Arabidopsis thaliana: one gene and its partners. The protein of the gene in region 1 interacts with the protein of each later gene in a pairwise test. Each region holds a gene or a part of one and is shown on either strand. Other genes may lie near its edges.

The links.
Region 2: the proteins of AT5G12190 (region 1) and NACA5 interact in a two-hybrid assay, tested with the Arabidopsis thaliana proteins (one large-scale study listed by BioGRID).
Region 3: the proteins of AT5G12190 (region 1) and BZIP24 interact in a two-hybrid assay, tested with the Arabidopsis thaliana proteins (one large-scale study listed by BioGRID).

The regions. Positions count from the first base shown.
Region 1 is NC_003076.8:3,939,845-3,943,228, forward strand, and holds AT5G12190 (RNA-binding (RRM/RBD/RNP motifs) family protein), read right to left. Parts: upstream 1,593-3,384; 5' UTR 1,262-1,592; coding exon 887-1,261; 3' UTR 637-886; downstream 1-636. Other genes in the region: PYD2 (pyrimidine 2), read right to left, coding at 1,856-2,050, 2,154-2,310, 2,421-2,473, 2,548-2,588, 2,677-2,764, 2,873-2,951, 3,032-3,119, 3,310-3,384. UniProt on the Arabidopsis thaliana protein: May be necessary for the splicing of pre-mRNA.
Region 2 is NC_003070.9:11,964,438-11,968,389, reverse strand, and holds NACA5 (nascent polypeptide-associated complex subunit alpha-like protein 5), read right to left. Parts: upstream 1,968-3,952; 5' UTR 1,844-1,967; coding exon 1,775-1,843; intron 1,686-1,774; coding exon 1,607-1,685; intron 1,270-1,606; coding exon 1,139-1,269; intron 1,045-1,138; coding exon 694-1,044; 3' UTR 547-693; downstream 1-546. Other genes in the region: AT1G33050 (uncharacterized protein), read left to right, coding at 1-29; AT1G33030 (O-methyltransferase family protein), read left to right, coding at 2,178-2,554, 2,649-2,962, 3,039-3,103, 3,203-3,505; AT1G33020 (F-box and associated interaction domains-containing protein), read right to left, coding at 3,558-3,737. UniProt on the Arabidopsis thaliana protein: May promote appropriate targeting of ribosome-nascent polypeptide complexes.
Region 3 is NC_003074.8:19,281,818-19,286,106, reverse strand, and holds BZIP24 (basic leucine zipper 24), read left to right. Parts: upstream 1-1,914; 5' UTR 1,915-2,042; coding exon 2,043-2,101; exon of another isoform or gene 2,102-2,257; coding exon 2,258-2,453; intron 2,454-2,538; coding exon 2,539-2,845; intron 2,846-3,154; coding exon 3,155-3,279; 3' UTR 3,280-3,717; downstream 3,718-4,289. Other genes in the region: AT3G51980 (ARM repeat superfamily protein), read left to right, coding at 84-296; ASAT1 (acyl-CoA sterol acyl transferase 1), read right to left, coding at 650-1,687. UniProt on the Arabidopsis thaliana protein: Transcription factor involved in the regulation of salt stress response. Functions as a negative transcriptional regulator of salt stress acclimation response by regulating cation homeostasis.

The DNA of each region.
Region 1 (3,384 bases):
AGTTATACCTTGATGTTTGGCTGCAGTGCGAAAATAATTCCATCTTCCACATAAACATCAGCAAGTGCATTCAATATAGTACCCCTCATTTGATCAAAATCCAACTGGTTGACACACCACACCATACTCTCTCCCTGCATCATAAAACTGTAAACAAAAAGATGCTCAACTCTGATTCCAAACAACGACCAACTGCTTGTCAGAGGAAGAGATCATGGGGTTGAAGTTTAAAGGTATGGACACTGATAGCAGTGGAACAATTACACTCGAGGAGTTAAGACAGGGACTTACTAAGCAAAGGTACAAGGTTGTCAGAAAATGAAGTCAGCAGTTAACGGAAGCTATGAGTACTTCTTGTACTTGCAAGAGTTTCAACGCCGAGCAGCAAGGAGACTAACACTATTTTCTGTTTTTCTTTATTTTGTTCGGCTCTGCGAATCATACAGGTCGAGGCTGATGGTAATGGAACAATATAGACAATGGAACGTTTATCGCAACCACAATGCATATTAACAGACTTGAAAGGGGATTTGGGAGAGCTGTTGAATTATGTATATTTTCTCAATGTACTTAAGTTCTTCTTTTTCAATTCTCTTGTATGTGTTAGTGATTTTTCGTTCTTACTTAGTTCCTAGCAAAACACTGAACACCAATCTCGGAAAATTGCATCAAAGCACAAAAAAAATTGTCACAGCAATAGCTAATTTGGGATTAAAAGATGTATTTTTCATTGCTTGGTCGATGTAAATGACAAAAGAGCAAACCTTACATAAAGAACTCCACTAAATTCATACAGATAAAAGAAAGTTTCACATCTCCCAGAATTTCAAAACCCTAAATTGCAGCAGTAACAGAACGACCATAAGAAGATCGAATTCAAGGACAATTACTTATCTTTGGTAGAGACTCCATACTTCTCCTGCAACTTGGTGATCTCATCTTCACTCTTCTTCTGGTCAAACTTCTTGCTCATCTTCGCGTGCTGGTAGTATAACACGATTAGGTACCGATTCGCGACGTTGAAGCCAGAGAGATGGTCGACGGCGTTCTTGGCATCGTAGATATCCTCGTAAACGACGAAGGCAGTACCTTTCGTCGCCTTGTCGCAACCGATTCGAATCTGGCGAATTGCGCCGTACTTGCCGAAGATATCGTACATCTCTTCGCTCGTTATGTTAAAGGGAAGGTTACGAACGTAGAGCACGCGATTCACCTCCGGTGGGAGTCTGGTGTTACTCTTGCGAAGACTGATTGTTGTCATAGCTTCTCTTCTTCTTCTTTTCCTTCCTTTATTAGCCGGTGATTTGTTATCGCCGCCGTGAAAAAAGTTCTTCTATCGGAAAATGAAAGTTAATAGTTCTGATTACGATTGATGCGATGCGAGTATTTATAGGGTGGAAGAATTAAAGGGTATAATCGTCTTTCCGAATGCAGGCTTGGGGGATTTTGATTGACGATTTTATGTAAACCATTAAAACCAAAAGTAATTTACCAAACCGATATCTATTTCTGGTTTGATGGCAAAAACCTGAACGCCTTTCAGTGTTGATCAACCTACTAAAAAAGCAGCCTTATATACCTGTGCGGCCTCCAGCTCAAAAGCTTGATTATTGGAAACAGTAATGTTTAAACTAAGAAGCTTTTCGCATGTCTCCTCTTTTTCTTCTAATACACACAGGATTTGAGATAAAGAGAACATAGACTAATTAACTCACGGATAAATTTTACAATCTTTTATTTTTTCTCAAAACCAGACTACATGCACATTATTCATAATCGCTCTTTCAATACTTTTAATACAAATTATGTACAATTGTTCTTACAGAATCACGATATGCAGATAGATACCTGCACTTTACGTAGCTTCAGTTCTGACACGCTTAACTGGAGCTCGAAGAGAAGATAGATAATTAGCATCTGATTTCTCAATACCATCGAAAAGGTAACTGAAAGGAGGCATCTCTATATACTTGCCACTTCTTGGAACAACTTTAAGTTCCTCGTTTTCCCACACAATTCGTCCTCCTGCTATTGTCACTTCAACTTTTCCCTGAGATTTAACAATCAAGTCCCCAATAAAATAAAAGGTTATGATTGCTCAGAGATTATACAAATCAGTAAAGACGAATTGTTTGTAAAAAGGGTATCATTACCTTTCCTCTTCTGCCCTCGTAGACGTTTGTGTCTGATCTTGAATGATGAGACTTTGAGCTAATCTCGTAGCTTGAGTTTGGATTCAATATGATAATATCTGCATCCGAGCCAGCAAGGATAGCTCCTTTCCGTGGATATATGTTGAAAATTCTAGCACTGACAAACTTAAAGTCATTTCAAATGCAAACACATAACTTTCAAGTAAAAGCTCATTGGAAAAAGCAAATTTTCAACATTAAAAAGAAGCTTCGAAAGAGCATATATACCACTCAGTGCTGGTTATTCGAACATAATCAGTAGCTGAGAGTTGGCCAGACTCCTGGATTAGGATATACAGAAAACGATTAAAACTTCTGTACAGAAAGAAGAATTTATTATTCCACAAGTACTTACCACCATCGTGTCCCATATCAAGTGCATCCGTTCCTCAAGGCCTAAACATATGGACAAGTTCAAAAGTATTTACAGGTTAGCAGGGGCAGTGAGCAGAGAAAGCAAGAAACCAGTCAAGTCAGCTATTACCATTAACACCATTAGGTATTCTGCGGAAATCATCAAGTCCTAGAGCTTTTTGTGTAGAATTGAAAGTGCAGTGATCAGTTCCTACAAGCTGCAGAGATTATCCCAATAAAAGGAGAAAAAGGTGTTTAGAAGATCTTAACATTTTGATGCTACAGGTCATGCAATTCTCTAGTTTATGCACAGCGAGGAAAGAAACCTGAAGGATTCCTGTGGAAAGGGCATCTTGTAGGGCTTTCCCATGTCCTACTGGTCTGATAGGTGGACTCATGACATACCTGAAATATTGAGAAAAACTTTGAAAATCTGAAAGAATAAATGGGAATCATTTGATTAACAGAACTGAAGGATTTATTACTTGGACGCAATTGTGAAGTCAGGATCCCAAAGCCAATGATCATCAAGGATTAATCCAGACACAACAGGCTCTCCAATAACCTTCTGTCCTGAAATACATAACAAAAAAACTTTTCATATTTATTAAGCCAAATACTAAGTAAAAATTTGAAAGGTACTTTTCTACACATATGTTATTGCACTAGTGGATGTTCGGATAGGAGATTGATTTCTAACAGGATAATGTCCATACAATGAGAAAAGCAAAAGGTTAGTCCTACATGAGTTGTAACAGAAAACCTGATTTTCGAGCTTTAGCAATCTCGTCCATTGCATCAACACTCATCACATGAACAACATAGAGAGGCGTGTTAA
Region 2 (3,952 bases), on another chromosome or scaffold:
AGACTTCTCTTTCGAACCCATATCCTTGAAGATATTAGAAAGGTGACATCAAATCATCCATCCCCTCTAAAAATACTTTGAAGGGCAATGACATGTCAGATTGGTAAGGCTTGCCCAAGATTTTTTTTGATTTTGCAGGTTGGCATGTAAAATATCAAAGAACAGCCTCAAGATCTCCAATTTCTGGATGGAGACTAGATAAGGCATACAAATCATTTTCCTAAGAAGTGGCTGACACATGACTAATTGTGCAGAAAGATGAAGTTGGTACTCCTTTCTACAAGTTACCCTTTATTTTACTTATGGTCATGTCGATTCAAGAGAATGAACACTGATACTATTTCTCAGAATCACTACTGAATAAATTGGTCTTTTTTCTTATCAGAACCTGGGAAATGTTTGGACGTGGAGCCTATTGATTGCTGAAGATTGTAATGTTTTCTTGTTATGGTCCTGACTCTTTGATTAAGAGATGTATAAACAAACCACTGTTACTCTTTTGTTAACTACTACGTCATCACACTTTTGTTATATAGTGCCTATAATGACCGCAAATTAAATACTTTGATCAGAGTAGACAGATAATGACTTCAAATCAAGGGGAGACATAATTAATAATGTTCAAAGAAAATGGTAGCTGAGACAAGAAACAATGAAACAAAAGCACAATTTAGGTGGCTCTACTACTCAACTCTATGTAGTGAGTTCCATAATGGCTGAAACGATATCCCCATCATTAGCCTTTAGAGCACTGACGGCTTTGGCCTTGGAGACACCTGCTTGGGTCATGACAAGATCAATGTCTCTGGCTTCAACACCAGTGTCATCAACATCGTCTTCGTCTTCTTCCTCTGCTAGTGGAGCCATGGTAGCTTCAGAACCGGCGTTAGGTAGCATGGATGTCACATCAGGCATCTTAAACCTCTGAGCAGCTTGAGTCTGTAGCTGAGAGCTCAAATCGTCGACCTTGGCCTCTCCAAAAATGACGTAAGTCTCTGCATTGGGACTCTTGTAAACATCTGGCTTCGAGATGACAAATAACACCTGACATAGATGCAATATTTTCCACAATCATCAAACCTATGTTACTTATAACCAGAGACATGAGAGTTTATTGATTGTTAGAAGATTTGTTTACATTCTTGGCTCTTTTGATTGTCACTCTGCTGACATCTGAGACAGGTTTCATGCCAAGCTTTAGAACAGCTTTGCGACTTTTCTTCTCGCTTCTACTTTGCTTTGCATTCTCATTTCCACCTTCCCCTTCAACTACACAGCCAAAACATTGAAACAAAACCCGAAATTAACAAAGGTTTCTCTTTTTAGTGTTCCATAGAGAAACAAATTCACATTTAAGAGCTATAGCTCAAGCTTAATCTAGGGCTTATGAACCTCAAGTTCAACAATTTTCTGATTTTCTACAAACCTAAAAGACAAATCTTATCTATACACTAACGTTTCTAGAAACATACATAGACCACTCGAAATCAAAGCATGAATCAGAATCAAACGAGTAAATTCCGGTTAACCGAAATAAATCAAACCGGAAGGAAAATGAAATGAAAGAGAGAGTAAGGAAAATGAAATGAAAGAGAGAGTACATTACCTTCGACGTCCTCATCGTCTTCATCATCGTCTTCTTCCTCTCCGTCTTTCACATCCTCCACAACAACATCATCTTCCTTCTGTTTCCACCAGAAACCATTATCAAATTCGACGACAACAACAAATCGGAAACAAAATCGCTCGGAGGAAAAGAAAAAAAAAGACGAACCTCGAGTTTCAATTGCTCTTTGATGGATTCAATCTGAGATTTCTCTTCCTCCACAATTGCTCCTGGCATCTTTCTTCTTCTTTTCTTTCTTAGCGCAGCAAGACCTTCCTTAACAGTGAGTGACAGATGAAACAAATAAAGTAGATAAATGATCCTCTGCTCCGCGGTTCACTATAAACAAACCCAATGGTCGTCAATTAAAAGCCCATTGGGCCTCAGTCTCAAAAACTTTGATTTGTTCTTTAGTTTACTTGGCGAATTTACGTACGTCTCCATGCCAGAATGGTCAAAAAAAAGAGAAGAAACTATTAGTCTAAAGAAATGAAGCATTCACAATTTGACTAGAATTGACAAAAGCTTTTGCTTTGTTTCAGAGATTCAGGAAGCAAGAAAAATTTAGAAAATGGAAGAACAAAACCTCTCCTCGTACGCAATGATCTTATCAAGCTCTTCTGTTCTTCCCATGGTTCTTAAGACAGCCATTGATCTTGGTCTCTTTGACATATTAGCTGAATCTGGTCCTTCCTCTGCTTCTCAGATCTTTTCTTTGTTGTCTAATGAGACAAAGAAACATCATGATTCAAGCTTGGTCAATCGGATTCTGAGATTTCTTGCGAGTTACTCTATACTCACATGCTCTGTTTCTACTGAACACGGTGAGCCATTTGCAATCTATGGCTTAGCTCCTGTTGCCAAGTACTTCACCAAGAACCAAAATGGAGGTGGATCGTTGGCTCCGATGGTGAATCTGTTTCAGGACAAGGTCGTGACTGATATGTGGTAACATCATTAACAACATCCTCACTCTTTCGTCTTAAAACGTTATCATCTTTGACTTGTTATGCAATCTGATGTTGTATTTACCTATAAAAAGGTACAACCTTAAAGATTCTGTTCTTGAAGGAGGGCTTCCATTCAACAACACTCACGGTTCAAGCGCGGTTGAACTGGTAGGCAGTGATTCAAGATTCAGAGAAGTGTTCCAAAGCTCCATGAAAGGTTTCAATGAAGTATTCATAGAAGAATTTCTAAAGAACTACAATGGTTTTGATGGTGTGAAGTCTTTGGTTGATGTTGGTGGTGGAGATGGCTCTCTTCTCAGTAGAATCATCTCTAAGCATACTCACATTATCAAAGCTATTAACTTTGATTTGCCCACTGTTATCAACACTTCATTACCTTCTCCAGGTACAGATACAAGTTCTTGAATATATTCTGTTGTATAGTAAATGATCTTTAATGTCATAACTTTTTATGGTTGTAGGAATTGAGCATGTTGCTGGAGATATGTTTACAAACACTCCTAAAGGAGAAGCTATTTTCATGAAGGTTAACTTTTTTAAAAGCTTTCTCAAGTCTTAACAGAATCATATACTTAAAAAAAGATAATATCTAGGTTTCTTGTGTGTTTGCTACAACTTATAACAGTGGATGCTCCATAGCTGGGACGATGACCATTGCGTGAAGATACTTTCCAACTGTTATCAGTCGTTACCGTCAAATGGGAAGGTGATTGTAGTCGATATGGTAATCCCAGAGTTCCCAGGAGACACTCTCTTAGACAGAAGCTTGTTTCAGTTTGAGTTGTTCATGATGAACATGAACCCATCAGGGAAAGAACGAACAAAGAAAGAATTCGAGATCTTAGCTCGTCTCGCCGGATTCTCTAATGTCCAAGTTCCATTCACATCTCTCTGTTTCTCAGTTCTTGAGTTCCACAAGAACAAGTGATATGTATCATTTTGATTTAAGACGTGTTCTTCAAGATTCACAGACCCCGAATCTAAGGGTTCTGTTCCTTTTCTACTTGAATAGTTACATGATGTCTCTTGATATATTCAATCACCTTGTCAAGTATCGCGTCTGTGTCTGCCTCGGGCTTGATGCTAACCTGTGAAGCTAAAGAAACTTTGCCGACGGTGATTGACCAAATATGAAGCTCATGGACCGCCGTTACTCTGTTCTACAAAGAGGGCTTCCTTTCAACAACAATCACGGTTCAAGCGCGCTTGAGTTGGTAGGAAGAGATTCAAGATTCAGAGAAGTGTCTCAAAGCTCCATGAGAGATTTCAGTGAAGTTTACATGAAAATAATATCCGAAAAAAAATCAAAATCACCAACTAAAGAACCAAAACGAACTAATAAAAACTGGGAACTGGATTGAGAGCAATGTTGCAG
Region 3 (4,289 bases), on another chromosome or scaffold:
GGGGCCTATGACCGTTTTTCTTCCTCTATGAATCTTGGCACACATCTCTTTCTAACTTATGCTACTCGGAAAATATGTTTCAGGCTCTTACAGCAATCCAAACTCTTCTTCAACTTAAATCCATAGAGCCTCAGGTTCTCAAAGAGTCCTGCGGGTTGGAAGAAGCATTAGAGAGAATGAAGCTACAGCTGGAGGAATCAATGGCGGATGAATACAAGAGAGACTATGCTGCAGATGTGGAGAGCATTCGTGGTGAAGTGGAACTGATCTTCCGCCAAAAGCTTGGACTTTTATGAACACCATGATCAGTAAGAAAGCAACTCCCTGTGCGTTAATTTCTGGTGGGAAAAGCTTTAGCTGTAGGAGTTGTAGACAAATTCTAACTGCCTTAGATAGACTTAAGATGTGTAACTTAGGCGGATCTTGCTGATCCATTTTGCATGTTATTGCCTCTACTCGAGCGGGTTTCTTCCCCTCATCTTTACTTTCATATCATGTTTGCAAGGTTTTATGTATAGTATTATGAACTTCCACAATTTTCTTGATTCGTGTGCCATGTAAATGATGGGGTTGCAGAAATGTCGGTTTTACAGTGTTAGAAAAAAATAAGTTAAAATAGAGATCACTCAAGCTTTGTCACACGGCAGGGTTAAAAAAGATATGCGGTCAGTTTCCTCCTGACCTCGACTGCAAATGCGCCTATGGCTGCGTACTCATCAAGAGCCTTCTCAACTATGTTGCACCGATTAAATTCGGGCAAGAACAGCCACAATGCCGTCACCATCACAAAAGTGAGTGTCAAAACCTGACTGATTGCTTTCGGGAATCTCCACCTACCGTTAATGGTTTTCTTGATGGCGATCTCCACGGTCGTGCAAAATCCATTTATGAGGAAGAACCACATCATCTTCCAGTCTGGCCTCAACCGTCCCATGTAGAAGAAGATGAGCTCGTGCATTATCCCAGAGACAACAAACGTCCCGAAAGCTGCAAGAATCTGGGAATAGTTCGGGCCCAAAACCGAGAACAGTTGAAGTGACGGTTCGTACACGGTTGGCCGTAAGATTCCAGTGACCATCAGGTTCCATCGTCTCCCCCAGAAATCTTGAAGTGATGTCGCTAGGTACGGCTTGTTGAACTGTGGCTCGAGCTCAAGATCCGACATGGCTCGAACCGCAGCAGCTGTGGCGGCAAGGATGATCTCAAGGGCGAAATATATGTGGATCGCGTAGAGAGTCAGCACGACTTTCTCAGGCAATTTGGTACTGTATTCGTAGGCTTTGATGATGAGAACCACAAAAACTGCCTTTATGGTATAAATCAAAGGACCCTCTGTGGATCCTTCATGGGAGTGAGTTTTTGTAGGTTTTGGGCTCAGCTGAATCTTGATGGGCAAGCAAGAGACAGCTAAGAAAATAGGGAGAGATAGGGGTTTATGGTTTGAAGAGAGAGGACCGCGCCCTAATGCAAATAATAAGAGCTTGAAATTTGCTAGCCAAGCGATGAAGAAAGCCGTGATGCCGAGTAAATGTAAGGAATATATCAAGAAAGGTACTATGAAGAAAATGAGGAAGACAGGGAAAAATAGTATGAGCCTTTTGATTCCTTTTGGAACCAATTTGGCAATGAAAAAAGTGTAACACAGTGAGATGATCACTAAACCCCATGCCTTGATGAAACTCGCCATTTTTGCTTCTTGAACTCAAATCTCGTCGGGAAGCAAGATGATGATGATAAACACGTTTACAAAACGTGTCCGCCAGCGAACACTAAATAATGATAGAGACGTGCAATAAGTTAAAATCCATGAGAAAAGTCTTCTTCTTTTTCTATACGAAACAATTTGACAATTGACATTAAAGAACCAATTCTCTTTCTTATAATATATTATTCATTGGGGTCTGGGGATATGGTAAATGGCTTTGCTTATTGTTCCGTCGTAATTTCTAGTAATAAAACCATTTCAAAGTTTGGTACAGACAAAAAAAAAAACATTTTAAGGTAATCTCAAAACCAAAAAGCCTATCAATCTTTGTACTTGGATGTTTTGTTGTTGCAAGGATTGCAGAGGAAACCAACGAGTTTCTAACTTTGATTCTCTGTAAGATTTTTCTTTCTTGGGCCATGTCAAAAAATTATAAAGAGTTGACTACTGTTTTATTCATCCACTATGTTAATCAAGAACATATTCTTCAACACCATCTTTACTTTAATCAAAAACCCTAATAATATCACCATAATTCTATGTCCCAAACAGAACAGGTGTTTTCTTTGGAGATCTTGAGTTTGGACCTCAGAATCAAAGATATATAAAGATGAATGAGGAAGAAGATAAAGATCAAGATCGAGTAACGAGAGGATGTAGTCACACTCATAGCTGTAACCCTCCAGGCCCAGAGGATGCTTCTCACTCCCACACATGCTTCCACGCTCACACTCATCTCATCATCTCTGTAATAATATCTCTTCCCTTAAGATATGGTATGTTTCTGATGATATTTTAATGGATTGTTATAGATACATATTTTTATGTTGCAGCAGGATCAGCAAGAGAATGATCATTCTGACAGTAGCAACAAGAAACGGTTATGTGGTAATAGAGAGGCAGTGAGGAAGTACAGGGAGAAGAAGAAGGCTCGCACTGCATACCTTGAAGATGAAGTGATGAGATTGCAATCTCTGAATGAGCAATTCCTTAGAAAACTTCAGAGCCAAGAAATGGTGGAAACTGAATTGATCAGACTCCGGGCTCTTCTGGTAGAGATGCAGGGGAAAATTGAAGTTGAACTTTGTAGTTTCTCGTTTCAGAAACAATGCAACGGTTCTGGTTTTGTGTTCAAAGAAGGTGATTTCTCCTACTATTTGGTTTACTAGTTGAAATTGGTTGTCAACAATCTGATACGTTGATGAAAAATTTAGCATTAAGAGGAAGAACTAGTAAATAGCTAATGAAATTTGAGCTACTGAAATTTTATTGAACAATACGAAACGCTAAAGAACTAGTTTCATTTATTTGGTTATCGTCTTAGTAAAAATCACATTTTCGAATAATGAAAACGTAAACTAATAGTAAACCATTCATCACCATCATTTTTATACAAAAGTGACCTAGACCTAATCTTGACACAATTTTGGATCTCGTGTAATCACACAGATGGATGCAACTTAGCAACAAGTAATATGATGTGTGAAGCGGCAAGAGTGGAGTGCGAGGAGGGCCAAACACTTCATGATCCTATTCAATCTTTTGTTCCTCAACCACCACCATTCTCACGTTAAGCGTTTACGGGCTGTGGTATTGTGTGTATATATATACATATGGGTTTAATTAGGGGCATAGAGGTCGGATTCCAATATAGTTAACATATACACAGATTGGTAACTTATTCTACATATGTCTATTTTAAGGGTACCAAAACATCTTGATGTGGAATTGATTTTGAAATGAAGAGGAGGATGATTGTAGATTTGTAGTTGTATGTATATATGATGATAATTGTGGGCTTAGAAGATCTTTGGGGGTCCATTTATAGATTCTCTATATGTGGGTATGGTGAATACCCAAACCAATAATAGATAAGGACTTAAGGTATGCATCATACATGCATGTGTATATCATAAATTTCAAATGCAAATGAATTCCATTGGTGTGGAATAGACTGCCCCAATCATTATTTTTTTTTTTCAATTCGCCTCAAACATTTGCGCATAATAATCATTCTCCCCCATGTAAAATTTACATGCGAATCAAATATTTCTGGATGAGTCAATGATAAGGCCGCAATGTTAGATTTTTGGGGTAAATTATTTAGCAAAGAGTATATATACTTTATAATATTGAAAACACATAATCATAGAGTGAAGTGTTAGGTGCCTCGGCTCTTGTGACTAGACTAGACCACTGCTTTTGACACCCAAAAAATAACTATTATAATCATTGCTTTCCTTTGTGGGTCATTCTTCTTTTATAAAAAGGTCCTTTCGAAATTTTAAATTTTCAAAAAATAATAATTCTTTTTTAACCCTACATTAATTTAGAACAATCATGTCTTTTCATCTTTAATCCTACCCTCTCATGAATATTTTATTAAAGCAAAAAAAAACATACTCAATACTTTGAATATGTGAAACTACGTGTGTAAGATTTTTTCTAGATAATTAGTTATGTTGCTTCAAATAAGAAACCTATGGAATTGGTCAACACATTTGACAATAAATCATATGCCCATGAGATTAATTAAGACAGATTTTAATAATGAAATGGTTTTTATTTAATTTCATGTGATCGA